Struthio camelus: one gene and its partner. The protein of the gene in region 1 purifies or fractionates together with the protein of each later gene. This does not show direct contact. Links are inferred from orthologs where the notes say so. Each region holds a gene or a part of one and is shown on either strand. Other genes may lie near its edges.

Evidence for each region. Proteins that work in one complex are often made in the same cells at the same time.
Region 2: the proteins of CHERP (region 1) and RBM17 purify together in Homo sapiens (co-immunoprecipitation; 4 studies listed by BioGRID and IntAct, counting the BioPlex papers as one, with this or other methods). This does not show direct contact. The link is inferred for Struthio camelus from reciprocal best matches to the Homo sapiens genes CHERP and RBM17.

Annotation. Positions count from the first base shown.
Region 1 is NC_090967.1:5,297,362-5,307,349, forward strand, and holds the start of CHERP (calcium homeostasis endoplasmic reticulum protein), read right to left. Parts: upstream 4,027-9,988; 5' UTR 3,926-4,026; coding exon 3,901-3,925; intron 3,818-3,900; coding exon 3,644-3,817; intron 3,206-3,643; coding exon 3,024-3,205; intron 2,282-3,023; coding exon 2,144-2,281; intron 1,444-2,143; coding exon 1,292-1,443; intron 915-1,291; coding exon 803-914; intron 429-802; coding exon 339-428; intron 1-338. Other genes in the region: SLC35E1 (solute carrier family 35 member E1), read right to left, coding at 9,597-9,830. UniProt on the Homo sapiens protein: Involved in calcium homeostasis, growth and proliferation.
Region 2 is NC_090942.1:4,584,750-4,594,577, forward strand, and holds the start of RBM17 (splicing factor 45), read left to right. Parts: upstream 1-5,787; 5' UTR 5,788-5,919; intron 5,920-6,961; exon of another isoform or gene 6,962-7,100; intron 7,101-7,275; exon of another isoform or gene 7,276-7,412; intron 7,413-7,900; exon of another isoform or gene 7,901-8,071; intron 8,072-8,759; 5' UTR 8,760-8,777; coding exon 8,778-8,900; intron 8,901-9,828. UniProt on the Homo sapiens protein: Splice factor that binds to the single-stranded 3'AG at the exon/intron border and promotes its utilization in the second catalytic step. Involved in the regulation of alternative splicing and the utilization of cryptic splice sites.

The sequences.
Region 1 (9,988 bases):
TAATTTGTATGCTTAGTACATACCAATGTTAAGTTATAGTTTTCTTTAGTTTCTCTTTTACCAACTATTCCTTTCCATTAAAAAGGAAAACAAGCTGTAAAATACAGATTTGCATTTGTGACTACCACAATGCACACAGGGAACTTTCTGGGATTGTATCAGCAGCCAGATTATTCAACATTTGAAATGACAAGGTTATGTTTTACTTTATTTTTGTAAACCTTTGCAAAGGATTTCAACAGGGGAAAAAAAATAACATTTACACTTCAAAAAAGAAAAAATTTGTTCTCAAATATTTATATGAATAAGGAAAGCATTACTTTTCTTTTGTGGCTAACCTGGTACTGGCCAAGTCCAAGAGCTGGGCTCTGTAGCTGCTGAATTATTGATTCATCAAAGTACCCATTTTTTTCCCACAGCTGAAGAAGCTGCATAAATGCAAGAGCAAAAGGTTGTTAGAAATGATGAACGATAAAAGAAAGAAAAGAAAAAAAATCAAGGCACAGCATTTTTATGCCTCTAGCTTTGTCAAAAGGCCTAGGATTTAGTCACTTGTCTTTGGAATCACCAAAGACTCAGAACTATTCATCATGATGATAACTTTTAAATAAAGCTCAAGTACTTTTTTTTGGTTTAAAGTTCTAGCTCAAACATAAATTAAAGTACATCCTTTGACAGGCTTTATGAAGAAGAGCATACTAGAAAAATCTCAGCAGTCCTCTTCTGTCCTTGGATTTGTGAATTTGCCTAGCACTAACCTAAGAAAGCAAAACATACAGCTAAACCAAAACCAGCTACTCACTCTGGCAATTTTCTGCTGTTTATCCTCCTCCACTGCTAGAAAGCTGGTACAATATATAGGCACAACCACCTTCTGTAAAGCAGCCAGAAGATCTCGTGCTTGCTTCCGCTGGCTTCAAAAAAGGAAGGATAAGAGTTACTGCCTTTTAATATAACATTAACAGCACTGTAACATTCAATTCCTCCTAACTTGTGCTGTACTAAAAGTAGAGGATTCATACAGATACAGAGAGAATTCTCTTCTCTACATTTGTACTGTACAGCCTTATCTGGAATAAGTATACACAAAGTAGATAAAGGCTGAATATGATTATTAAAGTACTGGCTATTTCTTTGCACCAATTGCACACACCTTAAGGCAGCTGCTAACGAACATGTGTATTTTAACAAAATAAAAAGTGACTAGTTGAACTAAGAATGTGTCTAGCAGAGAGAGACTTCACCAAGTTAATCCAAACAGCAAACTGGAAAACATCGTTTTAGTTCTTACCAGTGATGCAATACATCATTGATTAAGTAGATTAAATGTAACCGAAGCTCAAAGTGAGCTCCTTCTGCTGTTATACGATTTCGCAGGTGCCCAGCCATCAGCTCACAGTGTGCAGGAGACTTCGCATTACTAAACATCCAGTTTTTGCCAGCCTTAGAAAATGAATTTTAGAATATTTTAAGTTAGTCTGATGCGTTCACATCATATGGACTTCCTAAAACTGAAATAACTCCAAGAAGGAAAATTTTCAATAACAGCTGTCATCTCACGTACCATACAGTGAAACAATAAAGTTGCTATTTTTAACCATGCAGTTTCAAAATGCAAGTTGTACTTAATCTACACCACCATTAAGTAACAGTTCAGATTTAGATCATTTAACTCACTCGCTCCACGATCAGGCTTAATTTACCTTGCCTATCTGGGGGGTAATTTCTGTCCTATTTCTTTATAATCAGTAGATGCTTTAAACGACGTTATCCTAAACCCCAAGGCAGCATTAAAATCGCTACCCCAACACATTTCAAGTTAGGGACCGATCTCTTCTTTTTCGTTAGGGAAAGCTGACCCCCTCTACTCCCTCAGTTTCCTGGGAAGAACCTCTTCTCCAATATACGGAACTGACTTCATGGCCTGAGCAGCTGAACACAAGCAAAGTAGTCAATGCGTGGAGTCATCAACAGCCAATGGAAGAAAAAACAATTGTGACTGGAATGAAAGCCTTCCCGTTGCCTTTTGTACAGGTAAGGCCTATACGTCCTTCTTGGTGTTGCGTTTACAGCAAGTCAAAGAAGTGTTTCACTTGCAAAGACAGGAGCAGAACTTCTAAGATACGCAAGGATGTTTACTTACTGAGATTGCATCTTTTGTACACGTGTCAATTATTGGCTGCAACAAGTTGTCAAATTCATTCATATCTAACTGTGTTTCCTCTAAAACTTTCTGCATTTGTTGCTCAATTGCAAGGGCTACTGCTGATGTAACTTGTTCCTGAAAAAGAGGGAATTACATCACATTCAATATTCTTCTGAAGAACCACCAACCTGATGTGTGCCTGTGCTCTTAACCATAAGCAGTTATCTTGAAGACCAAGACTCCTTACACGCAATGTGACCATGTATAAATTTGTTTCAATTAGTTATTTTTGAGAAGGGAGAAGAGAAAGACTCTTCTCACTCTTCAGGAGAAATACTGTTCATTTCCACCTCCTAAATCCCTCCATCATGAAGCAAGTGATAACTGCAGACAGCTGCTAAGCGCATAGCACATGCCACACGTACTCCCCTTTCTCCAGGAACTCTTCAATTCGGAAGCTCTAAAAGCAAAACGCATTCTGTAAAAGAGCCAATTCAAGTACACAGTGCCATCCCACTCCCAAAAGAATTCACCTTAGAGCGCTACAAGCTGGAACGTCTCACAATTCCTAGCAAGTTGTAACATCAAATAAAGATTAGAGCAGTCACAATTTATTGCACTCTGTGCAAGCCAGGTAGGGTTTTCATGCAGTTAATAAACTGTTTTAACAAGGATCAAACTTACAAACACATCAGATGCATCTGTTCTAAGGAGATTACAGCAATTGTCACAGAACAAGGACAAGCAAAGCAACGCTCCCTCCTTCTTCTCACCAACATACAACGTCACCACCTTTAGTCAGAAGGAAGCCTTCCTACCCCCTTCACAGCCACTGGTAGCCTACAATAATCCAAGTGACTGTTCATCCTAAACCGACCTGTCTCATAGCGAGGAGATGCTGCTCCTGCTGCTGGAGGTTCCACTGACTCTGCTGGATAAGTTCCTCCACTGAAGGAGTTCCCTGAGGGGCTGGCATAGGCGCAGCCGGTGGGAGAGACGGCTGGGGCAGCGGTTGGATCTGCGCAGTAGCCTCAATATCTTGACTCTGCTTGCACAACACTGTCAGAGAAAGAAAGCTCTCAAAGTAAGCAACAAAGCGAAATCTGCCACCACCGGCCTGTACGTGAAAACAGCGCTGCTTCCAGAACAGAGCCGCAATTTCTGTTTAACACACACAAATAAAAATCAAGCGGGCGAGGGCGGATGGTGTGGAGGGAAGGAGGAAAGTCAGCGGCTCCCTGCACGTGTCGGGGAAGGACGATGCCAACGCCAGGCCCGCTCCTGGGGCGCGACTGCGGAGCAGCCCGGCCTTCCTCCCCCGAAACCCGCAAACGGGGGGGGCGTGAAGAGCCCCAGGTGGGGCTCAACCTGGAGGCGAGAGGGCAGGAAGAGGCTGCGAGCGGGGCCGGGACGGGGAAAGGGGGCTCCGGCAGCCGGAGGAGGGGGGAGAGAGGCCGCAGCCGGCCGCGGCCTTGCCCGCCCGCGGGCCGCACTCACGCTGCTGCTGCTCCAGCGCCAGCTTGTACTTGTAGTAGCCGTAGAAGTCGCCGCCGAAGAGGAAGGAGAACTTGGGGTTCTCCTTCTGCTTCTCCATCGTCATCTTCTCGAACTCGGGCCCGTTCCGCGCCACGAACTGCGCCAGCTTGTCGATGACATTCCGCAGCTCCTGGTCTGCGGGGAGGCAGCGCCGTCAGCCCGAGCCGGCCCCGGCTGCCCGCCCCGCTCCCCCCTCCCCGCCCCGCGGCCGCGCTCACCGTCGGGCGGCAGCGGCATCTCCATGGCGGCGGGACAACGACGAGGGCGCAGCGGCTCCGCCGCCGCCGCCGCCGCCACCACCGCGGCGCTAGGCCCCACCGGCCGGAAGTGCCGCGAGACGCCGGGCGCGGCCGCGCTTTACGGCCCCGTCGCTATGGAGACGGCGGGAGGTGGCGGGGGGGGGAGCGCTGCGCGGGGTCAAGCGCGGCCCGGCCCGCACCGGCGCTGCCCCCCCCCTTCCCCTTCCTGGGGGCACCGGGCCGAGCCCCTGCGCCAACCCCCCCCCCAGGGCCGGGGTGGGGGGGGGGGGACAGACCCCGAGGGCCCCGGCCCGGTGAGGCCTGCGGGGCAGGCCCCGGTGCGCCCCCCCCGAAGTGACCTAACACCGTCATTTCTTTCCGCAGTCAAATCAGGACCGTTCCGAGCTCTGCTGGGCCTCACCTCAGCTTTCCTTCCGCAGCCGCGTTTCTAACCTGCGAGGGGGAAGCCTTGCAGCGGGGCTGAGCGCACATCACGTTCGCCTGCAGGCCGGCTTCTGGGGAGCGTCCCTTCGGAGAGGGCCCGCTCGCTCGTTCGGCCTCGCGCCCCGCTCCAGAGGTAGGAGGCGAGGAGGGAATCGCTCAGCTCTCTCTACTTTATTACGCAACTTTGGGGGGTGGTGGGGGGGGAACAGTAACGCTCAAGGACCAATTTGATGGCAACTCGAGACCAAAAACGCAACGCGGGGCCCAAATCATTTGAGTGTTATTTAATACATTAGGAAAATTGAACTTCAAAATGGAGGTGATGCTCTGGGAATCACAAGAGGCCAAAAGCAAAGCTGAGCGTCCTAACACTTTTATCCAGTGCTCAGCTGGAGCTGTAATCACTCTCTGAAGCCTTCAGCGTTAAATTACGCTTCACAGAATTTCCAGGCACGCAGATAACACCCAAAGACATCCTCACAAAAAGGCAGAACTGTTTATTCTCAACAAGACATACCATGAAGACCCCACTATATTATCTACAGAGTATAAAAACTCAGAAAACGGATGTTTGCATGTATCCAGACACAAGTGGGGAAAAAAAAAAAAAGACAGACAGAATCTGGGTATGATCCTACATCACTTTGCAGTCCTGGAAAATAACACAGACCCCAGAAGACCAGGTTAAATCTTACTTTTAAGTATAAGCTAAGAAACTTTTTCAAAATTTGTAATGCTGCCCTCTACCCCAGCAAAAACATTTGTGCTTTGCGTGTTGGAGCCCGTGCAGCCATCCTTCAGACTTCCACATTCCTCAGCACGCAGCAACAGTTTATCCACAAACTGCCCCAAAACCTGTAGTGACCAGACAGAGGAGTCTGCCAAAACCATCTGAACACTGTTTTACTTTAGCCAGGAAAGAGTCCCAGTTTATCCAAAAGTCACCAATGCAATTTCTTCCCGTCATCCCTTACAGGAACACCAGCTTCAGGAGTAACATCGACAGGCTGGAGAGGTGCAGCATAGGCAATCAGACTAGGAAACCTCCTGAACTTTACAGAACACAATTGAAATAAGAACAGGAAAACCATACAAGAGCGTGCATTTGCTTAAGTGCCAGATTTCCTACAGTAAGGGGGGGGGGGGGAGGGTTTGTTTGTTTTGTTTTTTGGTAAAATCAGCCATATTCACATCAACCAATAAAGTACCAATAGAAACAAAACAAAAAAGGATAGGTGGGGACTGCCACCTGCATCTTTACATTTGAGTACCTACATAAAACATCTGTGATCTCAGGATTTACAGATTTCTTTTACCAGCTCGTACCATCACCACAAAGTTATTTCAGAATTATTTTTAACACTTTACAACATGTTTCAGAAATGGAAGCCTTAGAAAAACAAAGCTCTCCCTTTATTTATATTGCACCTTTTTCACAGATAGCTACACAGCAGAAATTCTTTCTGCTGCAAAATGCTACATCAGAAAAAATGTGGCTTAGAACACATTAGAAAGAAAAGGTCTTGAGTTTCAGGTATCAGCATGAGCTGACCCAAAATCACCAACACCAGCTTTACAAATCACCGCACTCCTAAGTATTGCCTCCATTTTATTTAGTATTTAGGTATTTCAGAAAAATGAGCTTTTTACCAAATTAAAAAGAGGCTCTAATCACTATTGGGTACTACAATTGAGTCTGAAGGGGAACTATTTTCAAGAGATCTTCAAAGAGCACCAAATACTCTTAAGAGCTATGGACAAAAAACCCACACGTAGTGGGGAGAAACTGGTTTCTTTCACACTGGTATCTCTAGAACCACCCAGGACTGTTTTGGGAAGAATTGTCCAGTTTTGTGATGTATTTACATGTACATTATAAATGCACAATGGAAATCAAAACATTTCTAAGGATACCAGTGATAGTGTCCTAACACTAATTATGGCATCCAAATCACACTAGTTCTAGTCTTAAGTAAACATCGGGTAATGTATCACACCCATACAGCAAAACAATAATCTGATTTCTCCCAAGTGGCCATTACCACTAATGTATGGCACTCCCGAAATGTCCTGCAAGTAAAAAAAAAAAAAACAAAAAACCAAACCCCTTCACTTTGATTTAATAACAGGGTCATTATACACGATTGTCTAGATATGCCCTTTTTATTCCAGTGTTTCCATACTTTCTACAGACCTATGTACATAGTTAAATACGTCATTAATTTACAAACCATGTTAAAACAAATGTTTCACTTTGCCAAACAAGATCTTGCAGGTGTCCAAGATCAAAATATATATTACAAGAATATCAGAAACTTCCTTTACCTGAATGTGGGCAATATTGCTTAAGGACTTAGATTCAGGTATTCAGCAAAACCACCCATTGTAACTGATTCGCTTAACTGTTTTAATTATGTATTCTATTGTACAAAGTTATCCCCATTGACCACAGACCTGAACTAGAAGAGCACGAATGTGGTCAGGCAGTCTCTGGGGAAGAAGCCCAGGCCTCACTCTCTGGGTCCTAAATGGGAGATCCTATTTTGAGTCAGTCCCCTTCTGCTCTGCGCTAAGGACAACAGCTTTTGTTTCGGAGATACGGTGAGGCTACGAGCCCAAACTGCACCGGAGCAAGGCATTTTCAACAGAAAGCCCTCACCTGCTGCTGTACTCTTGACAGAAGAAGCGGAGTCAAAGACCTGCCACGGTTAAGCGTGCAGTGCCAGCTTTCTCAGAAAGGAGTCACAACAAGATCAGGCTCCGTCCCTTGGAAAATTAGCCATCTATATATATTTAACCAAGCCTCTGCTCTGTGAATAAGGTGCGTGGAGCTTTATTCACCTTCTAAGGAAAAGCTCAAGTTGTACACAGCTGTTACAGTGGTAAACATACCAGAAAAAGTTCAGATTAAGTCATAGTACTTCTGCAAATCCCTATGGCCCCCACTGCTACTGTTTACTGGTATTTCACCCACTTTGAGGTAGGGAAGAATCACCCTCCCACCCCCATTTCCCAAACAGGAAACTGAGGCACAAACAACAAGATCAAGCATTTGCAGGAGTCTAACAGGTTACACCTAGCTCCCTTTGAAAGCAGTTGGACACCTTACTTCAGCCCCTCTTAAAAAAAAATCAGCCTAAATGTCTCAGCCTAAAGTCAAAAGTCTTTTGCAGAGCCAGAATCTAGTCCAAATCCCGAGTCCACAAGATCCTTTTTACATTTATGCAACAGCACTTAAGTATTGGGAAGCAAGCCTTAGAAATACAAATTTTGCACCTTCCCACAGTAAAAAAAAAAAAAAAAAAATATATATATATATATATATATATATATAAAATTAATACTGGAATAGGCAAAAGCAATTCCATATGAACAAATGCTTTTCCTCACAATCTTTTTTCTTGTTAATCAGGTTGGGGAATAATTTATTCAGATTTTCTAAGCTAAAAGCCCAAGTTCTATGCCAGCATGAACAGATTCAACACCAGGGAAGCCACGGAAGTTCTGCTCACAAACATTAGCAGCTTATTTAACCCATCTCTAAAGTTTCAGAAGGACTGTTTCCTCTTTTGGACTGTACCACGGAAGGCAGTCTACAGAACTACCTCCATAGACAACCAAAAGAATGAGATCAGGTTGACTTTGTACTTAAAAATAAATTCTTTAGTATCCAGAAAGGAGTCAAATCATCATTTCACTTCAAAGAAACAGTCATGTTTAAAGCATTAAATAAGTAGAGGGAGTGTTTTGTACAGCACCATACCCTAAATTTTGTTACCAGTATCTAATACCTTTCTAGTAAAAACTTAATACCTATGCTATCAAAATCTTGCTATACAACAGCTTTTCTGTTAAGGAAAGAAGGACCCTAAAATCTTCTTTGCTAAGGAGCAGTAATCTGGTTCAGCAAAACCAAAGTTCAACTGGTTTCATTCCTTTCCTGCACAAATGCAGTATCTGACACACAACAGTTGACTCGTCTAGAATTAAGTACCTTCATTGACGCTAACTGAATCAGTACTTATTACTCATAAATTATATATTTACTGCTAATTCAAAATATTTTTTCTTAATAATTTACTATCAAGCTAGGGGAGTTGCAGAAAGAGAAGGATATAAAATTTAGCTTCCTTCAGCTGAAAGTAGAAGTCAGGCCAAATGCACACAGCAGCTCCAACAGTGCTGATTAAGAAAGTTATAAAAACAATCAGGGACTGAAAAGATAGACTTAAGAAACAATTAAAAATGATGATTATTCAAAGCCATGCATTCATAAAATATCAGTCAAATAAAGGAGCATAGTTTGTGCATAAAACTGAGAAGAAAACACCTTAAAACTTTGAATTTTTAAGCCAACACAAGAGTTTTGTAAGAACAGGTGTAAAGCAAGTAAAAAAAAAAAATCATATTGTTCCAAACACTTTATTTGTCAAGGTGTTTTCTGTATTGCCAGGGAAGAGCAATGTCTGAAGTTACAGGACGACATTGTTTAGAAAACAATGATGAACTTAAGCTCTGTTTTGTTACCTACAGCAACTGGAAAAACAATGATTTTAGAAAAAAATGGTTCTCTATGCCTGAAAAAAGATTCTTGAAGGGATCAATTTTTCTACTGTCTACTCTTTCAGAAACATTCCTGGTTTGTCATCAAAAACTGAAGGTATAGGCACAGAGGTAATTAATACCCACACGAAGTTTCATATTTGCTCAAGATGAATTCAAGTCTGCCTGTCCGCTACTGATAAACAGAAGTCATTTCTCCTCGAACTGACAGCCCCTGATAACCAGAAGTGCACATAATTTCACTTTTTCTGAAAATTTCATCAAAATATCATTAAAATACACATTAGAGAACAAATTAAAGGTGATGTTATTAGCATGGAAACAAAGTACTGGCCACGGTTTAGCTGCCAAAACAATAATCCATTGACAGACTCCAAAAAAGGAGCAGTGACAGCAGATATTTTACACTGAAGTTTTCTATCTGCATTTCACCACAATCTCTGTAAAAGAGCTACACTGTGCATTTAGTTCCAGTGTCAGATCTAACTATTTCACGTGTAAAGATCTGCTTAGCAGAAGTCAGAGGTCTGTACCACTTTCACTACACATGCATCTTCCCTTCTGCAAAACCTGTACAATAAAATGGCTTACATTCACGGATGTACTAAAAGTTTCTGATGATGCTGGGGACACTTTGATATCACAGTCTATACCTGCTTGCCAGGATTCTATATATCAAAACGATTTAAATTGTAGGTAGTCGGATAGTTTTGCCGATTATACTGGAAGTGGTCTGTTAAGATATTGGCTCGACCATACTGATAGTCTCCATGTTGTGCAAATGCCGAAAGTCCATTCTGAGACTTCTCAGGGGTGTTTCGATGCCGGTCCAAATTCACGAGGTCTCCAGTTGTAACTGGAAGTAGCTGCTTCTTTGCCTCTTGATTTGCATCATATTTTGTCTGGGAAAGAGAGAAATAATGTTTTTCTTGGATTACCAGCTAGCATATTCATATACCTAGAAAGAACACGCACTTTTACAATTACACCACAATCTACGCTTGTCAAAATCTTAAAGTACTTGTGACTCACAGTAACACTATCAAATCCTCTGATATGC
Region 2 (9,828 bases), on another chromosome or scaffold:
ATGTACCTATAAATTTAGAGGGAACTTTCATTCAGACTTTGCAACTGAGGTTGAAAATAGCTGTTTGAAACTCCTTCCGTTTTTCGAGTACTCAACTTGAGATACCTTAATTTGCAGAGAATAGATGCCCAGAATCTTTCAAATGGTCTCAACGTGAGCACTCAAAACCATAGGTTATGCATTAGTGCCATCATTAAATCTGCAGTAGATTCAGGTAATATTTTAGGACGGAAAGCTGAAAGAGCTAAATGGTTCTAAACAGGAACCAGCACTTCCACGGCAAGCGGATCAGCCAATTTAACCACCAGGGCCTTTCCTGGCATAAAATCTTCAAACTTGGAGTCATATAAACCTAATAGTGAAGGAGTACTTTCCATTATTTCATCTTTAAAAAAGAGTGGAAGCTCTTTAGATTTCTGAAAAAGCAATAGTTCAGCCAAAGTTTTGACTCTGAGAGAAGAGAACACTAAAAGAAAGAAGGTAACACTAGAGAGAAAAACCTTTCACTGCAAGCAGGCACAGAAATGGTTGGGATGGAACGCAAGTTAGCCTGTAATGTTAATTTTTTTTTCATCGTCTTCCAAATGCTCCAGCATTGTCTACCTTAGCTTCCAAAATCTTTCCCAAGGCTTTTCATTTTAAAATCGATGATCAATGCAATGGAGCTTTAACTCTTTTTTTTTTTTCTCGTTCTTCATTTTCATAAAAGCAAACACAAAACTCCTGGAATCCCTCCAATTTGATCAGTGCACCAGACAGTGGGATTTGAAGCTTGTAAGAAACCTGCATCTTTGGCACAAAATTCTCTTTATGGCTAACACAGGGGGAATCTGAATAACTTTCTACACAAAACCTTTCTCTGGCTGAGCAGCAGAACCATTTTTTTCCTGCAGTTACGGCAGACGTCCCATCTGTACTGAGTCTAGTCAAGCGTCACATTTTCTCTTAGATTTTCAACATGTTTTCTCAGTTCTTCAAACAAGCTTGAGACACTGATGGTAGAACAAAATGGTCACTTCCTCATTTATATTATTTTTCCCTGTCATTGCCCAAATCAAAATACTCCACTGTGCAGTGTCAGTAGCAATAAAGCTTTCATTACTTGTGACTAAAAAGTATTTAAATATGGGTCTCGGAAACTTTAATCTGTGCCAAAATATTACTGGATGTTGTCTCAGTCATTCTCATTGTGGAACTGAGCCAAAATGTGAAACTAGGTAAAAAATGTGAAGTAGGTAAAAACTAGGTAAAAAAGCCACGCTCCTCTGGGTTTTTGGGTCACTCTATATATGGCAAAAATAGACGGCTTTCTTCATTGCGTTTGCAGCTGTTCTCTCTGCAGAAGTAAGGATATTCCAAATGCCTTTCTAACTGTTTTCAGCTCTTTATGATGGTTATTCATTGGTGAGTTTTACAAAAGAAGAATTACAGCACAGTTCCTTTCTGATTTATTTTAGAGTTATCAGAGTATTTTAGAGATCATGAAGCAGATCTGAAGGCATACTGGGTTAGGGTGGTACCTTTCAGCAAAACCATGGCATCACACATTGTGTTTGGTTTAGGATCCAACATGTTGGTTTAGGATCCAACAAACTCGAGCCGATCTTCCCAAGCCAGGATGAATGAATGAGCTTTCCCTCTGGCAGCGTCATTTTCATATTTCATTTTGCCACGCGGGCCATACTGAAGGTCACTGTGAAGCTGGCAGTGATAATCAAGTGGGTATTTTCTGAAAAAGAAAAAAAGTTCATAAAGTTTTGAAGGTGCTGCCAGGACCATTAACAAAAAGCAGGTGTGCAGTGGGGTGGGTCTGCTCTCTGCTTAGGACCCGCACCGTTAGCTGGAAATCATCCCTCCATCCCACGTGATTTAAGCATCTTTATTCTAACCTGACTGACGTTCCTCTGACCAAGCTCAGCTTTCTTTCGCGTGTGCCCCGCTGCGATTCGCATCTCGCCCCCACCTCTGTGGGTGGGAACCACTCTGCTCTTCTGTTCCCCGGGGGCCTTGTGGATGGTTTTGGGGGGTTTACTGCAGCCATCCCTTGCCACCTCAAAGGTCTCCCCGTAGACTGAGATGCACTGCCCTCTAATGCCATTTTGGCATATTAGCAACCCGGCTTTAAGCATGCAAGCCTCATCCTCAGAAGGTCTATCTGTAAAATACAGTGCAAATAATCTAAGTCTGGTAAAAATGGCTTAAGCTTAAGGGAATTTGTAAGAAACATGGAATTTATGGACTGCTTTTTTTTTTTTCTCTAGTAACTCTGCCCTGCTTCCAGCAATCAGTGGGTTAGTGGGATTTTTGAGACACAGACTGTACTTTGACCACTGTGTTTACCAGCCCGAATGGCCCTGTTCCTTAGGACCGTCTCCTATCTTTTTTTGGATCCCTTTATCCTCCAGAGTGCCCCCTGGCACCGAGATCCACAGTTTACACCTCTGTTTGTTTTGTACCTTCTTGGAGATCACGTCTAGGGAGAAAAATGAGAACTCCCTTTTTACCGTTTCTGTACCACTTGTGATGTTGGATGCTCCCATAGCACCTTTCAGCTGTCTCTTTTCAGCTGATACATCTTAATTCCTTCAGTTTAGAATGACATCTCTGTCGTCCTTCATTGTACATTTTTGCATTGCATTGCATCTACTTGGAAGTGATGAGGTACCCAGGAGGCACCTTTGCATGTGCATTGTGGATTTATATCAAGTATGTTTTCTGTTTTTCTCTCTCTCTCTCTCTCTCTCTCTCTCTCTTCTTTTAATACTTCTTAGCAGCCTGTTTGCTTTCTTGCCTCCTTCAGAGCACTGAGTTGGCCTTTCTAGAAAACCATCCACAGTGAATCCAGCATCTCTTCCCTTAATGGTAACAGCTGATTGAGAGCCTGCTGCTGTGTGTGTATTGCTAGTGTTATTTTCTCTTGCGTGCACTGCTTTGCATTCATTAACATTGGGTCCCATCTGCCATCTCATCACCCAGCCAGCATTATGCCATCCTTCTGCAACTTCTTGCATTCAGCTTTTGGCTGATTACTCCGAATAATTTTGAATCCACGGCAAATATAACCACCTTTGCTGAGACCTTTTCCAGGCTGCTTATCATTATGCTGCGGGGGCCTAACCCAGGCCCCTGGCACTCTGCCACTCACTGCCCACAACGGGGAAAACACAGAATTTGTTCGTAGCCTTTTGGTCCTGTCTGCAATCTGCTGCAATCTGCTGTCCATAACCCTTCCATACCCTTTTCTTTCCTCTGCCAGGAGTTCAGCATCCTGGACCCAGCTCTGGTATGGCCCAACCGCATGACCTCGTTTCAGACTGCTGAGAAAATTGCCATATTGTGAGAAAGAGCTGTGTGAAAAGGCGTAGAGTGGAACCAGGCGAGATAAGAAGGGCAGGTGGGACTGCTGAGGTGGAGATCATTAGCGGGATTCAAGAGAAAAAACATGAACATGGAAAGGTTTAAAATCCTGAAGGAAAAAACAGGTAGCTGGAAGGGGGCAACTCAGCCCTGTCGAGGGTCTGTTGGAGGCAGCAGAGGGCTGATGCTGCCCCAGCTGGCTCTGACTCGCCAGCAAAGGCTCTTCAGGTATCTCACTGAAGCCATGAACACGCTAATGCTTGGCCCACTACCTCATTAAATCCTGTCCATCTATTGTGTGTGTCAATCAGCAAAGATGTGCATTGTACTCTTTCAGCTGTGTATGTCTGGCTTGCATAGCCCGTTCATGCACGGTGAAAGTTGCCCAAGATGACCCAGCGATGGTTCCCCTGTAGCAGGCACTTCAAATAATTTCACAACAGTGGGGATGGCACAAACCAGGTCACATCTGCTCCTCAGGCACCACCGGGAGCAGCCCTGAATCCTTGATACTCTTCCCAGCCTTCACCCCCAGAGACCTTTCCACAGGCTGTGGGGTATGGATCCCCTCTTCATCAGAAAGGACCTCATGGGCTTGCCATTCTCTGGGCTTTGGGACACTTACAACTAGAGGGAGAGCCCATCTGGAGCTCTTCTCCACGCCACCCTCCTGGCACATAGTCTGCCAAGGAAATACTCTGCCATGGAGTTAATTTAGCCTAAACAGCTTATAGAAAGTTGCAGGGTTTGACCTCAGGGTGCAGATGTCTCAGAAAAGTGGCCGGGAGCTGCAGCACAGTGTCCCCACTGGCATACATCAGGATGTCCTTCACCCTCTCTGCCTTTGCAGATAAAGCTGAAAAAGAGGCGTCTGTCCAAGCTATCATCCACCTCCCCAATATGAAGGACTGGGGATGACCCTGGCAAGGGTGTCCTCCATTCCCAGACTGTCCAGGGACTTCAGACTTTGCAGCGTGGTGCGACTTCTCCACCTGCTCGCAGCTGGTTCATACTTTCTCCGGAGGACGCGTGTGGCCCAGCAGCAATCCTCAGCAGAGAGACGCAGCCTTTCGTGCAAGATGTAGGCACGGCACGATGGCGCGCGACATCAAATGTGCTGTCTGCAGGGGCTCAGTTTGTGCAAGGGCCCTTCTTTTGGATGGTTTCGCCAACGCAGACTTGAGATCACGCCTTCGAACGGTCTCCATGCCGTCAGCCAGAATTCTGCCAAAATTAATGCAATGGATGTTGTTGGCCTCTTTGCTCTTTTAAGTGTCTTATAGCAGTCTATGGTGGTTATTGCCACAGATGATGACAGACACATTTTGAACCACGCCTAATGCACTTTCCAGGACTTAATCAAGAGCTGCTTCCCCACTCGCGAATTATCTGACTAATTGCTTTAATAGGTAGCTATTTACGGGTCTAATAATTTAGCCTTTGCCCTTCCTGTTGTGCATTTTCCCAGTCTTCCCAGGAGTAACTGAAATCTCTGATGATTATCATGTTTTCTGCCTTTGCAGACTCTGATCTCTTGAGTTTTTCCCAGTGACTATCATGCTGTGATACTGCTCTGTGCTGTTAGGTGCTGAATTTCAAACCACAGTGATTTTTGCAGTACATTTTAATGCAATTAACTATTTGATTCCTTTCTTTAACACCAGTCCTTGCTCAATGTGATTCTGTCACTATGAAATTGGTATTCAAGTATCCTGCTGATTTTCTTTCTTGCACAAAGTTAGAGAAATGTGTATCATATCAATCTCTTCCTTTAAAAATGCAGGCATTTCTAGAGCAAGGAACAAAAGCCTGCTTGGATGATCCTCCCTGAATAAAGCGAAGAAAAATTCTTCTTACATTTAAGAAGTTTTCACTATTATTATTAAAATAGATTCATCTGGAAACACACTGCCTACAAAGATCCCCTTAGCAGACACCAGCTTAAGTAGGATGGGAAGAGCCGAGAACAGGCCAGAACTTAAAATAAACTACCACTTTTTTAAGTAGTAGCTTTGCTCACTGGTACCTCTTTTTTTTTTTTTTTTTAATTTTAAGCATGGGGAATTAATTGCATAGTAGCAAAGTCAAAAGTAATGCTGGAGATAAGGACTTTTTGATCAACAAAGAGATAAGGCTGTAGTTTTGAGGTTGAAGTGACAACGCTATCTGCTTTGGGGTTGGAGGTTTTGCTGTGTTTTGCAGAGAGGGTTGAATGTTTATTTCCACAGCGTTTATCACGTGGTGCAAGTGGCCATAATTCTTAGAAATCTCAACGCGTCTGAATTCACTCTCTGCCGGCTTTAAGTCAGGGACACAGCTGCCCATTAACAACAAAAACGAGATCTTGCCACTGTCACAGAGAGCAATAATTACCGAATTACCTCGAAATGAGCTCTCTGGAGAGGCGGAGAAATCACCGTAGCTGAATAAACTCCCGGCGAGGACAGATAACGCCATTTCAGGGACTGTTTTGGAAAGCAGAAATGATTTCTGCAGCGAGACGATCAGCGGAATCAACCGATCCAGCCCACTTCAGGCCCAAACGATGCTCTCATACTACAGGTACTTTCAACGGCCAAATACCCTGCAGTAACACCACCACCCAGCCACCTCGGCGTTAGCGGGAGCCGCGGCAGAGCCAGGCGCTAACCAGCGTGCCTGAGCGATACATGATTCGGGGGCGTCTGAAATACGCTTGAAGCAAAACGAGCGTCAGCTTTCTCTCCTCCTAGCTGCTTCACAACTGTGCCGTCAAACTCGGAAGAGTCTCATATTATTCTTTTTTTTGTTGTTTTTTTGTTTTGTTTTGTTTTGTTTTTGGTTTTGGCGGGAATGAAGATGAGGTCGAGGCGCCGAAGGCCCAAGGAGACACGCCGGCAGGCGCGTTACCTCGTCCGCCGGGCTGACGTAGACTTCTCAAGGCGCCAAAAACACAGTATAGCGAAACGCGGCATGAAGGCAAAACGCAGGGCGATGGCCGGGACGCCGATACCGTCCTGCCCCCTTGCTGATGGAACTGCTAAATCCGCCCCAAACCCCAACGTAGCCCCACCAGAAGGTTATCTCGCTTCTCCCCCCCCCCCCCCGCCGTATTTTTCGGGCAACTTCCTTGAGCGATCGCTCGTTTTTTCCCCAATGACGACGTGGCGAACGCAGGCCCAGCTCGGGATTTTAAGGTCTCTTTTAAGGTCCACTGGGATTTTAAGGTCTTTTTTTTGTTTGTTTTTAACGTGGGCTACACGGCCCACCCGCCAGCGCCCAAACCGCCCCCGCCAACACGAAGTTTAACGTCGTTTGTAGGTCTCTCTCTTATTTCCGTGCGCTTTATTTAAATAAGGGTGATCGCACAGGCTGTTGCAGAGCCGCCCGTCGCCTGCCACCTCCGCACGGGGCGTCACAGGACCCGAAAAATGAGGGGCGAGGGGGGGGAGGAAGTGGGAGGGGAGGGCCCCCCCCGCCCCTTCCCAGTGCCGAACTGGCGCGGACTGGGCCGCGCCCGGCCGCGGAGGGCGGCGGGGAAAGGGGCGGTGCCGCGCCGCGCCCGCCAGAGGGCGGTACAACGGCGGCGCCCGCGCCGCGCGCCCATTGGCCGAGCCGCGCGCTTGCGCCGTCGCGGCGGGGAGGCAGGCGCGGGCGGCGTGTGCGCAGGCGCGGAAGGGGGTGGGGGCGCTGGCTGGTGGAGGGCGGCCCTTCCCGGCTGCCTCAGCGGCCGGCTAATGGCGGCGGCGGCGGCGCGGTGACGGGTGAGCGGCGGGCGGGCGGCGGCGGCGGCGGCTCCCGCAGACCGGCGACTAAGCCGAGCCGAGCGGGCGGCTCTGCGCCTCAACGCGGCGGTGGTGGGCGGGGAACGGGGATGGGGCCGGGCCCCTAACGCCTCCGCCCCGCCCCGCAGCGCCCGGCCTCGGCCCGCGGCGGGGGCCGCCGCCGCCGCCTCCCGGCCCCGCCGCCCGCGGTGTCCCCCGAGGCGCGGAGCCGCTGCCCCTGGGGGCCGCGGCGGTTGGAGGGGCTAAAATCGCCTTTCGCTGCCCAAACTTCGTCTGCCGTGGCGCACGCGGGTTCGTGTGGTGCCCCCTCCCCGTCGCCTTCCCCTGTGCTTTGCGATATCCCTCCCTGTCCCCCCCCCCACGCCCATTTAGGTAATAATCCCCACCGAAACCCACCTCTCCCCCCCCATATTCATGCAGTAAACTAGCGTCGGTTGTTTATGTTCCTCTGCAGGCTGAAATCACCTATTCTTTATTATTTTTACTTATTTTACCTTAGAAGTAATATATAGGTGTTTATATTTGCTGTATTATTTCCTACAGCCCCATGTCTGGAGATCGTAATGCAGTTGCTGCCTGCTCCATCTGAGATTTGCTTAAATCCTTAAAACTCTACATAAGCAGACAGCTCCTCTGTGTCAGCAGGTGCCTTCAAATACAGGCACCCGTCAAATCTGTGGGAGCGCGGGCTCCGTAGCGAGTCTTGTATGTCTGTACAGTTTCACTGCAGACAGTTTATCGGTAGTCCTTGACTCCGTTACGGATGTTTTCTCCTGCAGGAAATTAAGAAGTTAAAGCGGTGGTCACAGATACTGTAATCCAGGCCTAACTGAGGCTAAATAATGTGCTTGCAGGTTATTCTACAGGCTGCTGCAGGTGATAGACCTCTCATTCGTGCACGCTTTTTCTCCTTACTTTCGTGTCAGATGATGTATCACGTGGACAGTGATGTATGTTATCTGTTATTGATGTTGTTACCTAGCCAATTTTATATGTGTGTGTTTACGTATTCCGTTTATTTGAGAGGGCTTTAAGTGTGTGAAAACATTTGCTTAATCATGCTCTGGCAGGCTGTGCTCCAGCAAGTGTAATTACTCTAAGAAAGATATTTCTTTTCAGCCCAATGATGTTGCAAAAAATCCTGAAGTTTAAGCAGCTGATTGGAATGTTGATATATTTGTGCAGACTTTAAGGTCAGGGAGACAAAACTTCTTACATGCTCTGATTTGGAGCTCTTGAGGTTTATGTCATACTTCAGAATTTCTTTGTGACCCTCGAAATATTTTTGTGGACCACAGTGTAACTTTTTAAAAGCTTGAAGTGATGATGTTACAACCACAGTTTTACAAACCTAATGTTACAAAAATAATTTTAGGAAGTTTCCAAAACCCATTGACACTTGAACAGTATTCATGGAAGCGTTTTATTACCTTTTAAATAATTGTTTATATACAGCCTCAGAGCAGTCATGCATATCTGCCGTTAACCAGAAAAATGTCACTGCTGGGATTTCTCTCCGACTTTAATAAATAAATAAATTAATTAATTAAAAATATGATGCACAAACATAACCGAGCTAGTAGCAAATAAGCACTGGACATATGACTTATTATAGGTTTTTTTTTTTTTGTCCTCTAGTTCTAAATTGAGGAGAAAATGTCACTTTACGATGACTTGGGAGTTGAGACCAGCGATTCCAAAACAGAAGGCTGGTCCAAAAATTTCAAACTACTGCAGTCTCAACTGCAGGTGAAGAAAGCAGCTCTTACACAAGCAAAGGTATGATCTTTAGTAATTTTACTTTCTGTTGTTGATAGTACTTCTGTGTTAGGAACACTGAGGAAAGTTTGTGACTTTGGAATGCAGATTTGGGATCCTTTTGTTATGATCTGTCTGTAAGTTTGTAGGGTGGAGCCTACGGAAAAGGCATTGGGCATGGGGACCAAGATTCAGAAATCTGTTATAGGAGGTCTTGTAAAGTTAAAAATCAAATGAAGACTTGACATGTGCCCTGTCGGCCTAAAACTTTTTTAATAATAGAGCTAAAAGCTGATCTTTGTATTTAACCTCAAAGATAATGAGATTAAGCATTTCCTTCTTTTTTTTTTTTTTTTTTAAAGTAGGTAACAGTCATGCTGCCCTTGATAGTTTGGCAGTATCAGCTGTTGGTCATTCCTGGCATTTTGCATCAGTTGTCACTTACATGTTTGCATCGTTTTATGCTTCCTATTTAAAAAGGCTTTAGGTGCTGAAGTGCACATCCTTGTATGTTAGAAATTTGCATGGAAAGTATTGCCAGTATACCTGAAAAGGAAAAGATGTGAAAGCTAATTGTTAGAGCCTAAACTGTGACAGTGCCATTTTCTCTTTGTTTTATTGCTACGGTATTTCACCCTGTTTCCTTAAGCGCTGTAGATGTTTTAAGTTCAAGCAGGACATGTGTTGTTTGCAGTCTGTGTGTTTTACAATGAGAATATTTGATTAAAAATAGAAGAATAACTGCAATTAATTATGTAGGATACTTTACCAGGCATAACATTTTATCACGGGAATTATTCCTGGTTTATACTGCTGAAATTGAGCACAGAATTTGGAACACTTGTATGAATGAAATCTGAAGTGGCGTATATATTGTATATGTTCTTTCCGTATGTATCTGATATGCTGTATGTGTACAGGCTATAATAGAAAAATAGAATAAGACTGG